5 linked regions of the Rattus norvegicus genome follow. The protein of the gene in region 1 purifies or fractionates together with the protein of each later gene. This does not show direct contact. Links are inferred from orthologs where the notes say so. Each region holds a gene or a part of one and is shown on either strand. Other genes may lie near its edges.

The links.
Region 2: the proteins of Usp4 (region 1) and Edc3 purify together in Homo sapiens (co-immunoprecipitation; 3 studies listed by BioGRID and IntAct, with this or other methods). This does not show direct contact. The link is inferred for Rattus norvegicus from reciprocal best matches to the Homo sapiens genes USP4 and EDC3.
Region 3: the proteins of Usp4 (region 1) and Ctnnb1 purify together in Homo sapiens (affinity purification with western blotting; 3 studies listed by BioGRID). This does not show direct contact. The link is inferred for Rattus norvegicus from reciprocal best matches to the Homo sapiens genes USP4 and CTNNB1.
Region 4: the proteins of Usp4 (region 1) and Rbbp8 purify together in Homo sapiens (affinity purification with western blotting; 3 studies listed by BioGRID, with this or other methods). This does not show direct contact. The link is inferred for Rattus norvegicus from reciprocal best matches to the Homo sapiens genes USP4 and RBBP8.
Region 5: the proteins of Usp4 (region 1) and Prpf3 purify together in Homo sapiens (co-immunoprecipitation; 4 studies listed by BioGRID and IntAct, with this or other methods). This does not show direct contact. The link is inferred for Rattus norvegicus from reciprocal best matches to the Homo sapiens genes USP4 and PRPF3.

Annotation. Positions count from the first base shown.
Region 1 is NC_086026.1:117,913,144-117,917,459, reverse strand, and holds the start of Usp4 (ubiquitin carboxyl-terminal hydrolase 4), read right to left. Parts: upstream 2,806-4,316; 5' UTR 2,782-2,805; coding exon 2,681-2,781; intron 1-2,680.
Region 2 is NC_086026.1:67,008,531-67,012,046, forward strand, and holds part of Edc3 (enhancer of mRNA-decapping protein 3), read left to right. Parts: intron 1-902; coding exon 903-1,222; intron 1,223-3,516. UniProt on the Homo sapiens protein: Binds single-stranded RNA. Involved in the process of mRNA degradation and in the positive regulation of mRNA decapping. May play a role in spermiogenesis and oogenesis.
Region 3 is NC_086026.1:129,534,565-129,538,080, reverse strand, and holds part of Ctnnb1 (catenin beta-1), read right to left. Parts: coding exon 3,398-3,516; intron 3,266-3,397; coding exon 3,012-3,265; intron 2,890-3,011; coding exon 2,651-2,889; intron 2,565-2,650; coding exon 2,363-2,564; intron 1,359-2,362; coding exon 1,214-1,358; intron 1-1,213. UniProt on the Homo sapiens protein: Key downstream component of the canonical Wnt signaling pathway.
Region 4 is NC_086036.1:3,239,973-3,243,488, reverse strand, and holds part of Rbbp8 (DNA endonuclease RBBP8), read right to left. Parts: intron 2,089-3,516; coding exon 1,976-2,088; intron 953-1,975; coding exon 67-952; intron 1-66. UniProt on the Homo sapiens protein: Endonuclease that cooperates with the MRE11-RAD50-NBN (MRN) complex in DNA-end resection, the first step of double-strand break (DSB) repair through the homologous recombination (HR) pathway.
Region 5 is NC_086020.1:186,082,426-186,085,941, forward strand, and holds part of Prpf3 (U4/U6 small nuclear ribonucleoprotein Prp3), read right to left. Parts: intron 2,851-3,516; coding exon 2,704-2,850; intron 1,625-2,703; coding exon 1,541-1,624; intron 1,381-1,540; coding exon 1,160-1,380; intron 1-1,159. UniProt on the Homo sapiens protein: Plays a role in pre-mRNA splicing as component of the U4/U6-U5 tri-snRNP complex that is involved in spliceosome assembly, and as component of the precatalytic spliceosome (spliceosome B complex).

The sequences.
Region 1 (4,316 bases):
CAGAGAGGGCCTAATCTAGGCCAGGTATTCACTAGGAGAAATGACTGGTAAGAGAATAAGTAAAGGAAGCTTTTGGGTGCCCATATCTGTGATTCCAGCATTTGGGAGGTCTGGGCAAAGAGGTCAGTCTCCACTGCACGATGAGTTTGAGGTCAGCTTGGGCTACAAGAGACCATATCTGTAAAAGACAAAACAAAGCTACACATGCTGACACATGCCTTTAGATCCCAGCACTTAGGAGGCATAGACACTTGGATCTCTAAGAGTTCCAGTCCAGCTTGGTCTACACAGGGAATTCCAGACCACCCAAGGTTACCTAATAAGACCCTGTCTGAAAAAAATAAACAAGGGACTGGAAAGAGAATTCAGAAGTTAAGAGAGGGGCTGGAGAGATGGCTCAGTGGTTAAGAACTCCGACCGCTCTTCCAGAGGTCCTGAGTTCAATTCCCGGCAACCACATGGTGGCTCACAACCATCTGTAATGGGATCTGATGCCCTCTTCTGGGGTGTCTGAAGGTAGCTACAGTGTACTTATATGAATAACATAATAAATCTTAAAAAAAAGAGAGAGAGAGAGAGAGAGAGAAGTTGAGAGTTTGGCGCTCTTCCCAGCACCCATGAATGGTATGCACAACTCTATTCTGCACAGGTACATGAATGTCATGAATGTCATACATATACTCAGACAGACAGACAGACAGACACACACACACCATAAAGCTGGCTGTGCCGTCACTTATCTGTAATCCAAGTACACAAGAAGCAGATGCAGAAGGGTCTGCAAGTTTAAGGCCAGCCTGGCATACATTTCTAGTTCCAAACCAGCAGGGGCTCACAGGGAGACCTTGTCTCGGAAACAAACAAACAAACAAAACACCAAGCAAACAAAAACATAAACGATTTCTAAAAGAATTTTAAAATTTAATTACATTTGGGAGGGGGGGGTCACAGTATGTAGCCCAGGATAGCCTTGAACTCAAAGAGATCCACCTGTGTATGCCTCCCAGATGCTGGGATTAAAGTTGTGTGACACTATGCATAGTTAGGATTTTATTTACTTTGGTTTTTCAAGACATGGTTTCTCTGACTGTCCTGGACTAACTCAGTAGACCGGGCTGACCTCAAACTCGGAGATCTACCTGCCTCTGCCTCCCAAGCGCTGGGACTAAAAATGTGCGCCACCACTCCTGGGCTAGGATTTTATTTTTAACTATGCACTTTATTAGTTATGCACATAAGTATGAGTATAAATGCAAGTGCCCTTAGAGGTCGGGGCGTGGATATCCCTGGAGCTTGAGTTATACATGACTGAGAGATACCCAACATGAGCGCTGGGCCTCAAACTCACATTCCGCAAGCCCATTATAAGTTCTTAACTGCTGAGCAGTCTCTCCAGCCCATGAGCACTCATGTAAAATGGACGCTTTCTAGAAGTAAAATGTTTACTAAGTTATTAATTGCATTGCCCAAACCTTGGCAGCAATACCTCTCTCCAGGCCTTAAGACTACAGGTACGCTCATCCATACCAAGCTGAGTATTCTTTATGTGTCATCCCTTTGCAGAATAATTTCTAAAGTAGCTCTCTCAATTTGTCTGGCCTTTCATTGGCTCAATTTAAACAGCATAAAACTATACCTAAACCACACCCCCCAAACACATAATTTCTATTCTCCTTTCCAGTCCCTATATTGGTAATATTCTTTTTTTTTTTTTTTTTTTTTTTTGAGCTGGGAACCAAACCCAGGGCCTTGCGCTTGCTAGGCAAACGCTCTACCACTGAGCTAAATCCCCAACCCCATATTGGTAATATTCAATGGGAAACCTACGCTAGTATTTGACTCCTACACAGTAGCACCACCCAGCCATTTCTCCACTACTGAGGAGTACTATCCCTTCTAGTTAACAATCTACTGAGACGCCTCATATTTGAATCTGCTCAAATAAACCTGGAATATTTTTTTTTTGGAGGACTCATGCTCACTGTATAAGAGACCAGCCCTGAAACTACAGCAACCTTCCAGTCTGCGCCTGCAAAACAACAGTAAAGCATATGCCACCACGCCTGGCAAAATCTTGCAACTTCCGATCTTCTATTTTGCTCCCCTCCCCTCCCACTCTTAGATCTAACTACTGCTACAATTGTTCCTGACCAGCTGACAATCTGAGTTCTTAGACATTTATTCAGTGTCTGGCCTTGAATTCTGTTCCGCAGTTTACAAGTTACAAAGTATCTGCTTCTGATAGTCTCTCAACCTCCTGAGCGTCATAAGCCACAAATTGCTACCCAGTTTTAATTCTTAAGGAGCCGAGGTCTAGAAGATGTGGACGCTTCCCCCACCAAGGTCAGCATCAAGTCTTCGATGGTTAAGTGCTTTCCCACCTTCCTGCTCCCGCCGACCGGAGCACTCCCCCATTTCTATATTCTACACCCCTTATCCCCTCCGGCCCAAGACTCTTGTGAATACGAATGGACCAAGACAAACCCCAGATCTGTCAACGCTGTACCCTAGCTGATCTCGGGGTTTCTTTCATCAGCGGCTGCTGTCAAGCCACTCTTTCAGAGACTCCAGGCACCGCCCCCGGCCCGCCTCTACCTAAAACTAAGGAAAGGGGTCCGGCCTGAGGGCCAGCGAGCCGGCCTGACGCTCTGCGCGGTGGGAGGGCAGAGCGGACGCTCACCACTGAGCCCCACGCTGGAGCGTGGTCCCCATCAAGGCTCCGAGCTCCGTCTTCTGGGTCTCCACATCCGGTCGCTCATGGGTGCCCCGGCCTTCCGCCATCTCGTCCGCCGCCCGGGCCCAGCCGGCCCGGACATCCGCCTAGCGCACGGCGTGCTAAGGACCGCGCCCACGCACGCACGTAACCACGCACGTGCGCGCGCCCGGCACCGTCGGCTTCCGCCTCTCCTCCCCGCCCCCACGCGCTGTGCCCTGGAGCAGAAGCGGACGGAAGAGGCTGGACACCCAGAGGCGTTGGCCCCACCATCCTGGTCTGCGGGGTTATCCTGATGCTATACCGGTGCAGGAGAAGACTGCTGCTTGCTTTTCTTGTTTCCACTCCGCTCCATTCTGCTTTCAGCTTGACTGCCTAAATGTGAGATTGAATTTACTGCCTCGACAGCCCCTGTAGCCAGGTGCGGTGCACACAGACACATTGGAATCTGGACTGTCCGGTGTGGTCCAGCCATTAACAATTGTCTGAACAAGGTCCAGCGAGATGGTTCCGTGGGTGACAACTGGGTCTGATGCCCAGAACCCATGTAAAGGTGCCAGAAGAAAACTGACTCCTTAAACTTGTCCTTTGTTCCCGACATACCCAATAGTGAAATCTGTTGTTTGAGACAGAGTCTTCTAGCTGGCTGTCCTGGAGCTGCTTACGTAAACTAGGCTGGTCTCGAACTTAGATCCGTCTGCCCTTTTTTCTCCAGAGTGCTGGGATTTAAGGCATACAACACCACACCTGCAAAAAATAAAAATAAACAGTCATAAATAGACTCAAAAAACAAAGTTTGTCTTAAACAACTGAATCCTGTTAGCCTTCCAGGTCAAAGCGAGAGAGGCAACCACCAAAGTCGACTGTGATAGGAATGAGGTCCAGGCATTTTTTTTTTCCCTTGGAACAATGATTGCGTGTTCTGCCGGGCGGTGACGACGCACGCTTTTAATCCAGCACTCAGGAAGCAGAGGTAGGCAGATCTCTGAATTCGAGGCCAGCCTGGTCTACAGAGAGAATTCTAGGACAACCAAGGCTACACTTCCCTTGAAAAAAAAAGAAAGAGACTCTCAAGCAGGTTTAAAGCACGGTTCTTCTGAAGGGAAAAATCCATCTATGGAGGTGCCCAGGCAACTGGTGTGTTTTTACTTTTCAGGCAAATCCTGTTCGTAACAGTCAGGCAAGTAAAACAGCTTCTTTTTTTTTTTTTTCTTTTTGGAGCTGGGGACCGAACCCAGGGCCTTGTGCTTGCTAGGCAAGCGCTCTACCACTGAGCTAAATCCCCAACCCCGAGTAAGACAGCTTCTTGCAGGATACCCAAGCATGTGCAAACCCTTGGTTTCTAGCTGCCCTTCAAAAAACTAAAAACAAACGAGCAAAACCCCAATTTCCACACCTTCCTACCGTGTATTATAGTACAGATCTTTTTTTTTTCCGGAGCTGAGGACCGAACCCAGGGCCTTGCGCTTGCTAGGCAAGCGCTCTACCACTGAGCTAAATCCTCAACCCCAGTACAGATCTTTTTTAAAGATACATTTATTTTATGTGTGTGTGTGTGTGTGTGTGTGTGTGTGTGTGTGTGTGTATGCCCTGCATAAAGTGT
Region 2 (3,516 bases), about 51 Mb from region 1:
AGCAAGCACAAGGCCCTGGGTTCGATCCCCAGCTCCGAAAAAAAGAAAAGAAAAGAAAAAAAAAGAATCATAATAAACTTTTTCCCAAATATGATGATCTAGAGAGTACTCTTAGAGTTTCAAAGAAAATCCCCATCAGGAGCTGTCCAGCACAGAAAAGCCAAAAACAGGTGGAAGAGCGACTGTATCATCCTGGCTGCCTTGTAACTCTATGTAAACCATGCTGCCTTCAAATGGTGATGATTGGAGGTGGCGATCCTGCCTTTGTCTCCTAAATGTAGGATTCTGGGCAAGAGCTGCAATGCCCTGTTGGTTCCTTCCTCTTTCCTGTTGCCATGGAAAAGTCTATTGTGCTTATGATTATCACCTTACCTTCCCGATAGCCTTCCACAAGCATTTCTCCTTATGTACTACCGTAGAGAACATTTGCAGTTCTTCCTGTGGACAGTGCCAGATTTTCTTAGTCTCTGACTCTCTGGGTGAGATGTCTTTCACCCTAGCGTCCTCTGCATGTGTCTTTTCCAGTGCGCAGACTGAGTCCCTTAAAGGAAGTACTGTGTCTCTGTGTAGCTTGCTCATAACCAGGGCTCACCACATAGTAAGGGCATTGTATGTTGAAAAGCAAATGGGTGAAAGAATTTAAGAAAGCTACTAGCATTCTGGAAATCTAAGGAGGCTATAGAGCTGTTCTTAACAACTGGGTCTCTAAAGTAGTGTATGAGTTGCAAGTTGGTGGCTGGGCATGGTCTGTAGATGTCCTGCTACCTTTCTTAATTTCACTTCTGTTAACCCTGAGTTACTGCAGTTTTGCAGAGTGCAGTTTCTTCCTTAACCCCAGTTTCATCTCTACCACTTTCCTATTGCTACTATAATTTTGAGACTTGGACTTTTGTGTGTTTCAGGGCAGGTGATATTACAGAATTAAAAATCTTGGAGATACCAGGTCCTGGAGACAACCAGCAGTTTGGAGACCTTCATCAGACAGAATTAGGCCCTTCTGGTGTTGGGTACCAAATGAGTATCAATCAGAATGGAACAGGCAAGGTGGTCAAGAAGCCAGCCTCTTCCAGTAGTGCCCCTCAGAGCATCCCTAAGAGGACAGATATGAAGAGCCAGGACGTTGCCATTTCTCCTCAGCAGCAGCAGTGCTCAAAGAGTTATGTGGACAGGCACATGGAGTCTTTGAGTCAGTCCAAGAGCTTCCGTCGTCGGCACAACTCCTGTAAGTACAGTCAAGGTGCTGTCTTTTGTAACCTGGTGTTTCAGGCTGTAAACACTTACCTACTGTTGCTCCTTCCATGAGTCCGTGATTCCTCATACAAAGGGTTTCATGGAGATACAGTGTGTTTCTGCCATTCTAGGGCCAGTCCCTCAAGATACCAAGGAAAAGGAAATGACTTATTAGAGGTTCACCCAAGCTTCTTGCCCACTTTGTCACTTTTCTCCCTTCAGGAAAGGTCTTGGATCTGCACCATATTCATGTTTTAAATCTCATAACTGTTGGGGTTGTGATACCTGATTGACTCTACTTGGGGTATTCCAGCTAATTTCTTGAGTAGACTTTTACTTAGAGAGGAGGGGCTAGTGTAGGCATTGCTGTTACCTTTCATTTCTAACAAGCTGATTGGTTTGTTTGTTTGTTTGCTTTGTTTGTTGAGGTACTGTGGACTGAACCCAGAGCTTTGCATATCTGGCAAGCATTCGGCCACCAAACACTTAACCCTAGCCTTAATTGAGTATTTTACTTTTATTTTTTTTATGTCCCCACTAAAGGCGATTAAGGAAAGCACTTACTGGTATATATTACTCTCTGGTCTTGCTTGCTAGTAACAGATATAGAACCATAGATGGGTCACTAAAACCTGTAATGTTTTTAAACGTGTACTAGAGTAATGTAATTTTGAGATATAACAGATTTGTTCACATCTGTTATGTTCCTTAAATACATATGAATGGTCTTTTTAAAATTACTTCTAGGAAGGCTGGATAATCAGCCTGTTGGTTAAGAGCACTTGTTTTTGTAGAAGACCCCATTTTAATTCCCAGCATGCAAATGGGAAGTTTACAACTCTGTAACTCTAATCCCAGGAGAATCTGATACTGTGTCCTGATTTCCAAAGGCACTAAGCAAACATGTGCTAATATATGTATATGTAGGCAAAACATATAAAGTAATAAAATAGGACAATTTTAAAAATTACTTCTAGGACTGGAGAGAAAGCTCAGTAGTTAAGAGCAGTTTGGCTGTTTTTACAGAGGACCTAAATTCAATTCTCAGCACATAACTGCCTGTAACTCGAGCTCCGAAGGTTCTCTTCTGTCTTTTGGATACCTGTATATATTTATAGACACACAGACACATACATATAAATAAAAATAAATATTTAAAAATGGGTTTGGAGGGGTTGAGGATTTAGTTCAGTGGTAGAGTGCTTGCCTAGGAAGCGCAAGGCCCTGGGTTCGGTCCCCAGCTCCGAAAAAAAGAACCAAAAAAAAAAAAAAAAAAAAAGGGTCTGGAGAGGTGGCTCAGCAGTTAAGAGCACTGACTGCTTTTTTTGAGGTCTGAGTTCAGTTCCCAGCAACCACATGGTGGCTCAAAACCATCTGTAAAGGGATCTGATGCTCCCTTCTAGTGTCTGAAAAGAGCAACAGTGTACTCATATACATAAAATAAATAAATAATTCTTTTTAAAAAAAGTTTAAAAGAAAAGTACTTCTAAATAGTAAACTATCTTAGGGTTACTGTTGTTACAATGTAACACCATGACCAAAGCAACTGAGAGGAAAGGGTTTATTCAGTGTACACATCTACATGATAGCTCATAATTAAGGAAGTCAGGACAGGAACTTAAACAGGGAGGCAGGAGCGGATGCAGGAGCCACAGAGGAATGCTGCTAACTGGCTTGCTCCTCATGGCTTGCTCAGCCTGTCCTCCCATACAGCCCTGGACCACCAGCCCAGGGGATGACACGACCCACAATGGGCTGATTCCCATTCCCACCCCCCCAATCAATTATTAACTTAAGAAAATGGGCTATAGGCTTGTCCACAGCCAGATCCCATGGAGGCATTTCCCCAATTGAGGTTCCCTTCTCTCAGGTGACTCCAGCCTGTGTCAGGTTTACTATCCAGCACACTATTCTTACTTTTCTTACATTTTATACCTAGAAGTAGTAGCAAATATATTAGGAATTTTAAGTGTGTTTTCGTTGATACATGTAAAACTCAAACTAGAGTCATACTAAAATAAAGCCAAGGCATTTCCTACTAAAAGGCAGAATTTAGAATGAGCTGTTTTCTAGAGCCCACATAGGAGTGGGAGAGTTGATTACAAAAGGTTCCAGATGCCACTTACTGTCCTTTTGGCTCCTTGTTATTGTCCCAGTGACCGTCATAAGATTTTGGTGTGCTCTTCAGTTCCAACTTGTGATGTGACATTTGTGTCAAGCCTGACATTTAAGTTTTAGAAATTCCAACTTTGGGCTGAAGCAATGGCTCAGCAGGTTAGAGCACTG
Region 3 (3,516 bases), about 12 Mb from region 1:
CGGTGCTCTCCGTGTGGTACCAAAACAGCAGTTACTCCCATGCACCAGGGCCCTGCCTAGCTCATTACTGACACCGCTCAAGTTGTATTTGTACCAACATTCTCCTTGCTCTGAGACATGGCCCACACAATGCTCTACACCCAAAGAGCATCTAAACTCCCATGTCTCAAGCAAAAACGAGGTTACTGCTCCTCCCCCCAACCCCTTCCCAGTGCCAGGCAGCACTCCTTGTCTGGGTGGTCTCCTCAGTAGCTGTCATTGTTGTGTGCTGTCCACTCCTGTCATAGCACACATTCCTTTGTTCTATTCTGAGACAAGGCCTTGCTAAATAACCCAGGAAGTCCTAGACCTCTTGACTCTGCCCCTGCCTAAGTGCTAGGGCTCCATGTCTGTGCACTGAGCCCAGCACCTGCCTTCGAGTCTTGTGCTCATCTTCACAAGACTACGTAGGAACAGCTCCCCATCGCTCCACAGATGAATGCATGGTATAGGTCAATTACACCACTTCAAAGATAAACATCCACATCAGAATGACCCGGACATCTTAGAAAGTCCATGCACATCCATCTCCAGCTATCCCAGCTACCTATGAACTTTATCAATCTACAAACATATTTAAACAAGTCTTACAGGCCCCTGGTTTCACTGTTAGCAACGACCTCAGTAACCTGAAGTGTTCCCAACAACCCAAAGATGGCTGCTGCAACCCAGTGCCTCATCTTCAGCGCCTTCCCCCACATAATGCCTTCACCATTTCCCACCTCTACTTGGGATCTAAAGCTTGCTTGGTTCAGCAGCCTAGACAGATGTTAGCTGCTTACTGAAAGGAAGCCAGAGAACTGAAACTACTTTCACCCTAACCAAGAGGCTTGGACATGAACCTTGTTTTTCTTTATCACCAGGCACAACATAAACTGCCATACATAGCTGCCCAATTAAAACGCAGGACAAAAACAGTAGGGAACGGCTCACTGAGAAGAAGACATTCACAACAAATCTCACACAGAACAAGACAGACATAACCACTTCTCTAGTAAGCTGGACTCTATATTCACAGGGTTGCTAGTGAGGCCCAACCTCACATTTACCAAAATCAAAATCAGAAACAAGCTTTATGGAGCGATGTGCTTTTGTCTTTGACAAATAACTGAGCAGTAACGCAGGGAAAGGTGAGTGTGCACTGTGAGCTCTCAGACTGTGTATGTGCACTCACCAGCTTCCACGATGGCCGGCTTGTTGCTAGAGCAGACAGACAGCACCTTCAGCACTCTGCTTGTGGTCCACAGGAGCTTCTCGTACGTGTAGGTTCTCATTATGTTTACTAAGGCTTGGGGTCCACCACTGGCCAGAATGATGAGCTAGAGAGATGGAACTGTCAGTCAGGAGACTCAGGAAATGCTGGAGCGGCCATCACCAGTTCCTGTACTTAAGAACTCTAGCCAGCCTGCAATTCCACGTTCTCTGGAGCCCTCTGATCCACAGCCTCCAAGTAGGGTCCCAAGGATGTGACTCCTGTGCTACATTCTGCTCAAATCCAGGCACCCCCACTCTCTCAAGTATATACCAGCTCAAGCTAGAGATGGCTCTTCCAGAAGACCCAGGTTCAAGTCCCAGGACCTACATGGCAGCTCACAACTGTCTGCAAATCCAGTTCCAGTGGATCTGACACCCTCACACAGACATACATGCAGGCAAACCAGAAATGTGTGGAAAAAAACTATTAAAAAAAAAAAACAAAAACAAAACTCTTGCCACCTCCCCACAGTGAACACAAAGGAAAAAGACCATGAAAAGCAAGTGGGGTTGCCTGTAGTAGTGGTGAAGGTTCTGTCAGAACAGCCAGCTGAAAATGGCACTAAGAGTCTGTAGCTTCCGACCCTGATCTTACATGTGCACACTTATGAGACACTGTAGAGTACCCACTCCTACATCCGTAAGGTCCTTGAACATCTCCACAGGCAGGTCTCATCCCGTGCTTGTGTTTAAGATCACAGAGCCTCACAGGATCCCCAAAGCTCTCAACACACTGTCTCCTAACCTCTCTCCAGCACACTACCCTCTCCCTCCTCAGGACTGTAGATGTCATCCTCTCACCGCCTCCTCCTGGGTAACACCTCACTTCCTCTCAGAGATCTCTACAAGACCCCAAAACACCATTTCCTCTGTACACCCAGCCCCTCTTCTCTGCCCAAGTGTACACACTCACTCAGGAGGCCTCTCCCCATCCCTTCAGTGCTTAGCACGGCACAGAGCTTCAATGTTTACAGACACATTCTCTAGGATGCACACAAAGGATGGGACACACATCTCTGAGCCTGTGTGGTGAGGACTCTGTGGAGAGAGACAACCTTCAGCACTCTACCTTGCTTTCCTGATTGCCGTAAGCTAAGATCTGAAGGCAGTCTGTCGTAATAGCCAAGAACTTCACGTTTGTTTTGTTGAGCAAAGCAACCATTTTCTGCAGCCCACCAGCTAGGCGCACTGCCATTTTAGCTCCTTCCTGATGTAGCAGGAGATTATGCAGCGTGGTGATGGCGTAGAACAGTACGGAATCCACTGGCGACCTGGAAGAAAGGGGAGCACCTTTGTTGGCCACGCCAGCAACCCTCTACTTCCTACAGCGCATTCCCTGACCATGTTCTCTTCTTACCCAAGCATTTTCACCAGCGCTGGGATGCCGCCAGATTTAAAGATGGCCAACAAGCCCTCTCGATGGTGGGAAAGGTTGTGTAGGGTCCCAGCGGTACAACGGGCTGTTTCTACGTCATTTGTATTCTGCATGGTGCGCACTATGGCAGACACCATCTGAGGGGAGCGCATGATGGCGTGTCTGGAAGCTTCCTTTTTGGAAAGCTGGTGAACCATAACAGCAGCTTTATTAACGACCACCTAGAATAAGGGTGGAGAGGCACCATGAGTTTCCAAAACCGGATATGGGGCAGCCAGCCATTGGCATCCCCTTGACAGCTTCCCTCACAGTAAACTGAAAAGCTAGCGGCATCACTGCTCACCTGGTCCTCGTCATTTAGCAGTTTGGTCAGCTCAGGAATTGCACGGGTGGCAAGTTCCGCGTCATCCTGATAGTTAATCAAATTGACAACTGCATGTTTCAGCATCTGTGACGGTTCAGCCAAGCGCTGGACATTAGTGGGATGAGCGGCATCAAACTGCGTGGATGGGATCTGCATGCCCTCATCTAGTGTCTCAGGGAACATGGCAGCTCGGACCCTCTGAGCCCGAGTCATGGCGTACTGACCGTCAATGTCTGGGAAAGGTAAATCCAACACTCACTGGGCATGTGAGACTCCGTTGCCCTCCGCCTTCCCTCCACCCCACCCATGCTGGGCTGAGCCCCACGCAGCCCTGTCAGGGAAGGTAACACAGAGAGTTGCTTTACCAGCTACTTGCTCTTGCGTGAAGGACTGGGAAAAGCCTTGCTCCCACTCATAAAGGACTTGGGAGGTGTCCACATCTTCTTCCTCAGGATTGCCCTTGCCACTCAGGGAAGGAGCTGTG
Region 4 (3,516 bases), on another chromosome or scaffold:
AATTATTAGCACCTAAATGAAATCACAAACAGTGTTAATCAAAATGTCTGAACATTTAACACAAACCTTCACATCACCAAAAAGATTCTCTGTCTCCAAACTTTCCTGTGAACGTGGAGGTGTTTTGAAAACAGGATTTTCTTCTTTTATCTGTAATTGAGTGTTATGGTCTGGAGAGAATTTACTAGAGCACTGGAGGGTGCGCTGCTGTAAGCAGTATGTCTCTGCAGAGTCTTGGGCTAGTGTGCAGGCCCCACTCAAGGCCTTGCGGCCTGAGGAGGAGCCCTTGGGAACGGGCTTCAGAGCCTCATAAATAGTCACTTGCTTAAGTTTGTGTTTGCAAGTTTCATCCCCGTGGTTCTTCTCTTGACGCTGATTAGCTGCAAACCGATCTGACAGGTCCAGAGGTTTATCCATCACATGGTCTCCATTCACAGGGAACTGATTCTCCATTGGAAAAGGAAGGGCATTTTCCTTATCAAAACAGGTCTGCGGGCAGTGTACTGCGTGCTCACCCTCTTCCTCAGTCCTCTTCCTTTTGGACGCTTTGCCTCCCAGTGATTTCAAAGGCACCAGGTGTTTATCACTAACAGCATCTTTCATGTGATCAGCACCACCCTGCTCGTCGACAGAGTCACTAACGTTTTTACTTGTAAGAATCTGCTTACTAGGAAATGACTGGCTGATGACCTTTACCTCAGACCCAGCACTTTGTTGTGTGAAAAGGGCATTATCCTCTGATTTGGATCTAACTTTCTCTGATCTAGAAACAGAAATGCTGCTAAAGGGAGCTGTGCTCAGAAGGTTTTTTTTCCCACTGTCTAAGAGTGAAGGGGAGAAACTTGTTTTCAAACCCAAATGAGTTTTCACGGTAGAGGTAGGTCCAAACACGGGAGATGACCCCCGAGTAGTGAGTTCTCGGGGAGGGGCCTTTGAAGCAGAGTCTGAAAACCTAAATAAACAAAGAATATATAAGATTTCTTAAAACTGAAAATGGGGTAAAAATTTAAAAAACAGTACATTAAAACATTTCTTGATACAGAATAGTAAGGTGCTATCCACCCATTAGAGGCAGATGATTAACACAAATGTAAGAAGCAGTGTTGTTTTCTCCTTATTTAGCAGAGCAGATGAAAGTAGAAATGAGCCACTGAGGACTCCAGAGCCCACTGAGGACTCCGAGTCTTTTGCTATTATTAAACTTATGAGAAATCCCAAGAAAAAATTCCTACATCGCAGAACTGAATGTAAACGCTCTCAATAGCTATACGATCTTAGACAAGATATTCAACCCTTGGAGCCACATTTCTGTTGTCCATTTAAATAAAAGAGAAATGGGAATAAAACTTACTTGATGAGTTATTAACAGATGAACCTAAACTAAGCAGGATGTGGGGAGAAAGCATGAGAGAAGGGGCAGGAACAAGACAGCAAAATAAATCCTCTAAGCTTCGATCAATTCATATCCTAAGCATGCCTTATCAACATAAGTACTGTTAGTAAATATTATGATATTTGAGAAAAACGACAAGAAGAAGGCAGCTCACTGGTCAGAAGCACTGACAACTGCTGCAGGGCATCCAGGTTGAGTCCCAGCACCCACACAGTGGCTCACAGACATTTACAACTCCAGCTCGAGAGCTTCTGAGCCATGACCTCCTGGGAATACATGGTACGCACACACACACACACACACACACACACACAGAGGCCCACACACAAATGTTACATAAGCTGGGTCTTTCGCACCATTTAGTGTTTGGAGACACAGTGTAAAGACTTTATTTACTGGGATAAAGCAAAGCTGGGAGGTCTTGACGATGCTTGATGATGCGGGAGGAGAATATGGACAGGGCACCAGCAGCCACTTTGGGGGAGTGCAGTGCTGAGACACTCAGCCTTGTAAGCTTTATGGAGCTACACTAACAAAACAAAACAAAATAAAACAAACAAAAATATCCATGCTCAAAATTACCTTACGTTATCTTCGTTCCTTATTGCAGATTCCATAAAAGGCTGTTTTTTGTGATCTTCTTTGAGACAGTGGTAGAGCTCATTTCCAAGAGGGCTCACAGGACCTTGGGGTTCCTTCAATAGTAAAGCATGCTTAAAGTGGATAAATGCTACAATGCAAATAAATCCCCAAAATATATGAAGTGAAAGGAATCAGAATGAAGAGCTATGTAATCAGACAGAGAATGGAGCTGCACAATATTGTGAGTATATAAATATCACTGTACTGTAGGCTTTAAAGCCACTAATTTTGTTATCTAAATTTTATCACAATAAAAAAATATGAAGAGAAGAAAGTGCTAATGTTTTAATACTTTATATAACTTACTACTGCATAGAAATAGTTCAATACCAAAATACGTTAAAATGAAGGGTAGAAAACACAGGTGAATGTAAAAGGAAACTTTAGAGGAAATTCTTAGGATTGCACACAAGTCACCTGGGAATCGATCATAAAAGCACAAGCTCAATAAATCTGAAATCCTGTGCCTGTGATACATTCAAGAACGGTAAAGACGCTGTTGACCGTGAATCAGACTGTAAGAAGAATCCTTTGATAGCTTCTCCTCTAATAGATTTCATATCTAAACTTGTTAGATCTATGGCTAGTAAGGAACTAGAGACTATAAAACACACACAAATGTTCACAAGCTAAGAATTACCCACTATAACTTCAGGATGAATTTTAAAAGTGTAAAATCAAAATGTAATGAAAAACTAACTCAAGTTTAAGAAACTCAACAGTGAGACAGTTTTCTAAGAGAAAAGCAAAGGAAGACTATTTTAAATCTGTCACTTGTTTGTTTATTTTCGTACTGTCAGTGGTCAAACTTAGGGCCTTACATACATTATGCAAATGCTTGATCACTGAACCAATTTAAATCCCCAGTCCTTAAACTGTATCAAAACAGAACTTAACCTAGCATTTGTGGAGCCTTGGGTTCTAATACTCAGAACTACAAACAGATGAAAACTCTCTAATTTTGCCCTCCGGAAACGACTTAGTGGCTGAGCAGCTCTTGCCGCTCTTGCAGAGGACTGGAGTTTGACTACCAGCACTCATATCAAGCAGCTCCAACTGCTTCTAGCTCCAGCTTCAGGGAGGTCTCAGGACCTCTTCTAGCCTCCACAGGCATCTGACCAGAACATATACAAACCAGCAGGTAGATGTATATCTAAAACAAACAAACAAACAAACAAACAAACAACAGAACAAAACCCCCAAACACCAAGAACCTAAGACTGGGAACTGCAAATGTTTTATGTTGTAAGATTAAGGGGAAAGACAGACATAGGAAAGTATTAAAGTAACTAAAACAATTGGAAAGTCAGTCTCTGACCCAACTTTTAAAGATTATGGTTAGCTGAATTGGTAGGTTCTTAAAATTCAGGTCATTTTTCGAACCAAATGAAAATTTAATGGCTGTCAGAAAATTCAATCTTTTTTTTTTTTTTCTTTTTTTCGGAGCTGGGGACCGAACCCAGGGCCTTGCGCTTCCTAGG
Region 5 (3,516 bases), on another chromosome or scaffold:
CATGTGCTCTTGCCACCACCTGGTCATTATCTAATCTTGTTTTATTCCCAAATTCTTCTCCTTTTTCAAAATTTATTTTCAGGTCCTCCAGAACCAGACTTAAAGATAGCCAACCTGTGAGTACGGAGAACCAAACCTTGGTCCTCTGGAATAGCAGCAAGTACTCTGAACTACTAGCCACCTTTCCACCAAACCCTCACCTGCCCTTTTTTGTTCTTATTTCACCTGCATTGGTGTTTTGTCTGCATGTAAGTCTGTGTAAGTGCATTGGGTCCTACAGAACTGGAGTCACAAACAATTGTGAGCCACCATGTGGACACTAGGAATTGAACCTGAATCCTTTGGAAGAAGAACCAGTGGTTTAACCATTGAGCCATCTTCTAGGTTATTCCCCTTCACCCCCATCCCTTTTGTGGTGGTTCAAGGGACTGAGAGCCCAAGGCCTCCTGCATACTAGCCAGACGTTCTACTACTGGGATGCATGGGAAACAACTCTATCATTTGCACCCAAGTTCTTAGTCTTGGGATGCTAGACCAATCACAAAGGAGACAGGGTCTTGCTACGAAGTTCTGGCTGGCCTAGGACTTGTTATGTAGACTAGTCTAAATTCGTATTTACCTCACTATTCTTGCTTCTCCCTCCTGAGTTAGAGTTGCAGACATATAGAGTCTCAACCAATATTGTTTAGTGGCTGAAGCTCTTAAGTAATAAGTCCAGAAATCTGATTCTATTCTTACCTCTGTTATTAAGTGAAAACATTATTTTATTTCTACCAGTTATAAGCAGACAACAAAAGCCAAAAATAAATGCAACTGAATTTAGATCATATATTAAAAATATAAAACTGTAAGAAATTATTTAATGTTCTTTGAGAAAATAAGTCATTAACAGGCCGGAGAGGTGGCTTAGCGGTTAAGAGCACTGACTGCTCTTCCAAAGGACCTGAGTTCAATTCCCAGCAACCACATGATGGCTCACAACCATCCATAAAGGGATCCGATGCCCTCTTCTGGTGTGTCTGAAGACAGTTACAGTGTGCTCACATATATAAAATAAATAAATCTTAGAAAAAAAGACAGAAACATGTAAGTAAATTACCTTTAATTAACTACTCCAAAAATGTTAGAAGTGACAAGGGACTGTGTGAAGGATACTCACGGTGGAGCTATGCCCATGGCATGGAGATTAGCTAGGCCCACCATGTTGGCATTGCCAATAAGCCCTGGCTTCAAAGCCAGCTGGGCCTGGATTCGGGCTTGTAGTTCAGCGGCTTTCCTTGCCTTCTCAATGGCATCATTCATAAAGGTAGCGGCCTGGGAGGGCTGAATAGTGTTGCCAATTGGAAGTCGCTCTGGTTGGGAAGAAGAAGGTGTCTTTGGCTATAAGACAGAGATTAAAAGAAATCCAAGAGTTTGAAACAGGCATAACACAGATACACACATAGACACCGTGGCAGATTATGGCAGACAGCTGGAGCACTTGCTGGACCCTCGAGTGGACGAATGACAACAGACTATGTGCTAACCCGTCTTTCAGTACCTGAGGTGCAGGGGGGCTGATGAAGCTCAGCTGCTTTTTCCTTTCCTCGATTTGTCTCGTTGCTGCCTCCATCATCTGTTTGATCTGCTCTCCAGAGGGAAAAGGTTGAAAAGATTAATTTCCCCCATACATGGTCCTAAATGAAAAGGCATTCAGTTCCAGAGACCCAAAATTTTGTGAATGTCTCCACAATAAATATATTATCTATACCACAGACAAGAAGATATACACTTAAGCACCAGAATTTTCTGATCGTTCCCCACCCCCAAGTTAGGACTGGTATATTAGGTAGCATACACTACAGTGACTGAGACTCAGACAGTATAAGGCTAGAACTGCGCCACACTTTCTGCCTGTATTTCTTTGGATAAGGCATTAATACCTTAACTTCTCACAAATCTAAAAGGGGGGAAAGCAGTGCATGCGTGCTTCCTAACAAGCTACTATGTTAAAAGCAGGCAGGGAGACTATAGAAATGGTTCAGAGCTAAAGCACCAACCACTCTTGTACAGGCCCTGAGTTCAGGTCCTAGCATCCACGAGGTGGCTCACAACCATCTCTAACCAGTCCTAGGGTATCTGACACGTAACTCCCACAGGTTCCTGTGTGCACATAAACATTCACAGTATGTTTAAAAATCATGGTTATGAGCCACGCATGACAGCACACGCCTTTAATCTCAGCACTTGGAAAGCAAGAGCAGGCAGATCTCTGTGTCTGAGGCCAGCCTGATCTTATACATTGTGAATCGCAGGCCAGCCAGGGCTAAATAGCAAGACCTTGTCTTTAAAAATGTTAATAATCACATTATCGGACCCTGAATTCCTACTGTAGGTGTGCATGGGCAATGGTGCAGGCTCTTTAGAGATGTCTCCATGAACCCTGGTTATGTCCTAACAAAATCAGAAAGAAGCTCTGAAGTCAAGCTAAGTGCTGTCATTTCATTTTCTTTTTCCGATGATGATGTATCATACCAGGTGCTCAATAAATCCAATTTCAATAATTCTTAGCTGGGTTACTTCTGATCAAACCAAAGACTGCTAAAATATAAAGGAAAAAATAAAACTCCCCCAAGTAGTTAACACAAACTCAAATCACGATCACTGTGGGCCTGAACCCATGTGCTTCAACTCACAAAAATCCCTTTGCTTCTTTTAACTGACCTGGAGCTTCGTTAGCATGCCAGGGCTTTCTGACGGAGGTCCAGGGATCACCTCTGGTTCCTCTTCTACCTCCTCAAAACGGGGTATTCGCCGCTTCTTTACCCCTGATGATTCCTTTGAGATCTCAGAGTCATCACCAAACACCTCCTAAAGGAACCCAAAATGAAAGAATTGTATCCCTCCCTAGGGGAAAAAGGAAGAACCATCCCAACCCCTACCAGCATCCTGTGGTTTCCCCAGGGAAATACGACAATCTTTCAAAAACTACTTGCAAGAAGCAGGGTCTTCTAGATATTCCACCAAGTGGACCATTCACCCAACTTCATCATTCTCCTTCCTGATTCAAGCAAATTTCATTCCCATGTTCTGATAAATGTTCCCATGTCAAGATCTTTACCAGTGCTACTGCCTATGTTTGTAATGCTCTTCTTCCTTTCCCACAAATCCTGTCTAAAACTCACCTCCTCCAGGAAGTTCTCCTCATTATCTATCTCACCCCACTCTGATCCAACTGTTCTTTCACACCGTCTCAGCACTCCGAGCTCGGCTCATGTTAGATCACATTATACTCTGACACTGTTTGCCAAGTGTTAGGTATTACTTTCTCCCAAGTAAAAGCTAAGTTCTTCCAGAAAAGAGATTTGTTCTTTTTTAGTATTCCCCAATAACATTTTCTTCTTATCATACAATGGGAACTCAAATATGTTGACTAATTTGCAAAATGAATTTAATAGGACCAAGAGTGGCCAACTGGAAGGGACAATGGGAAAAAGCAAATGTACACACCGGTGGTAGGCTTTGGGTGACATCCCC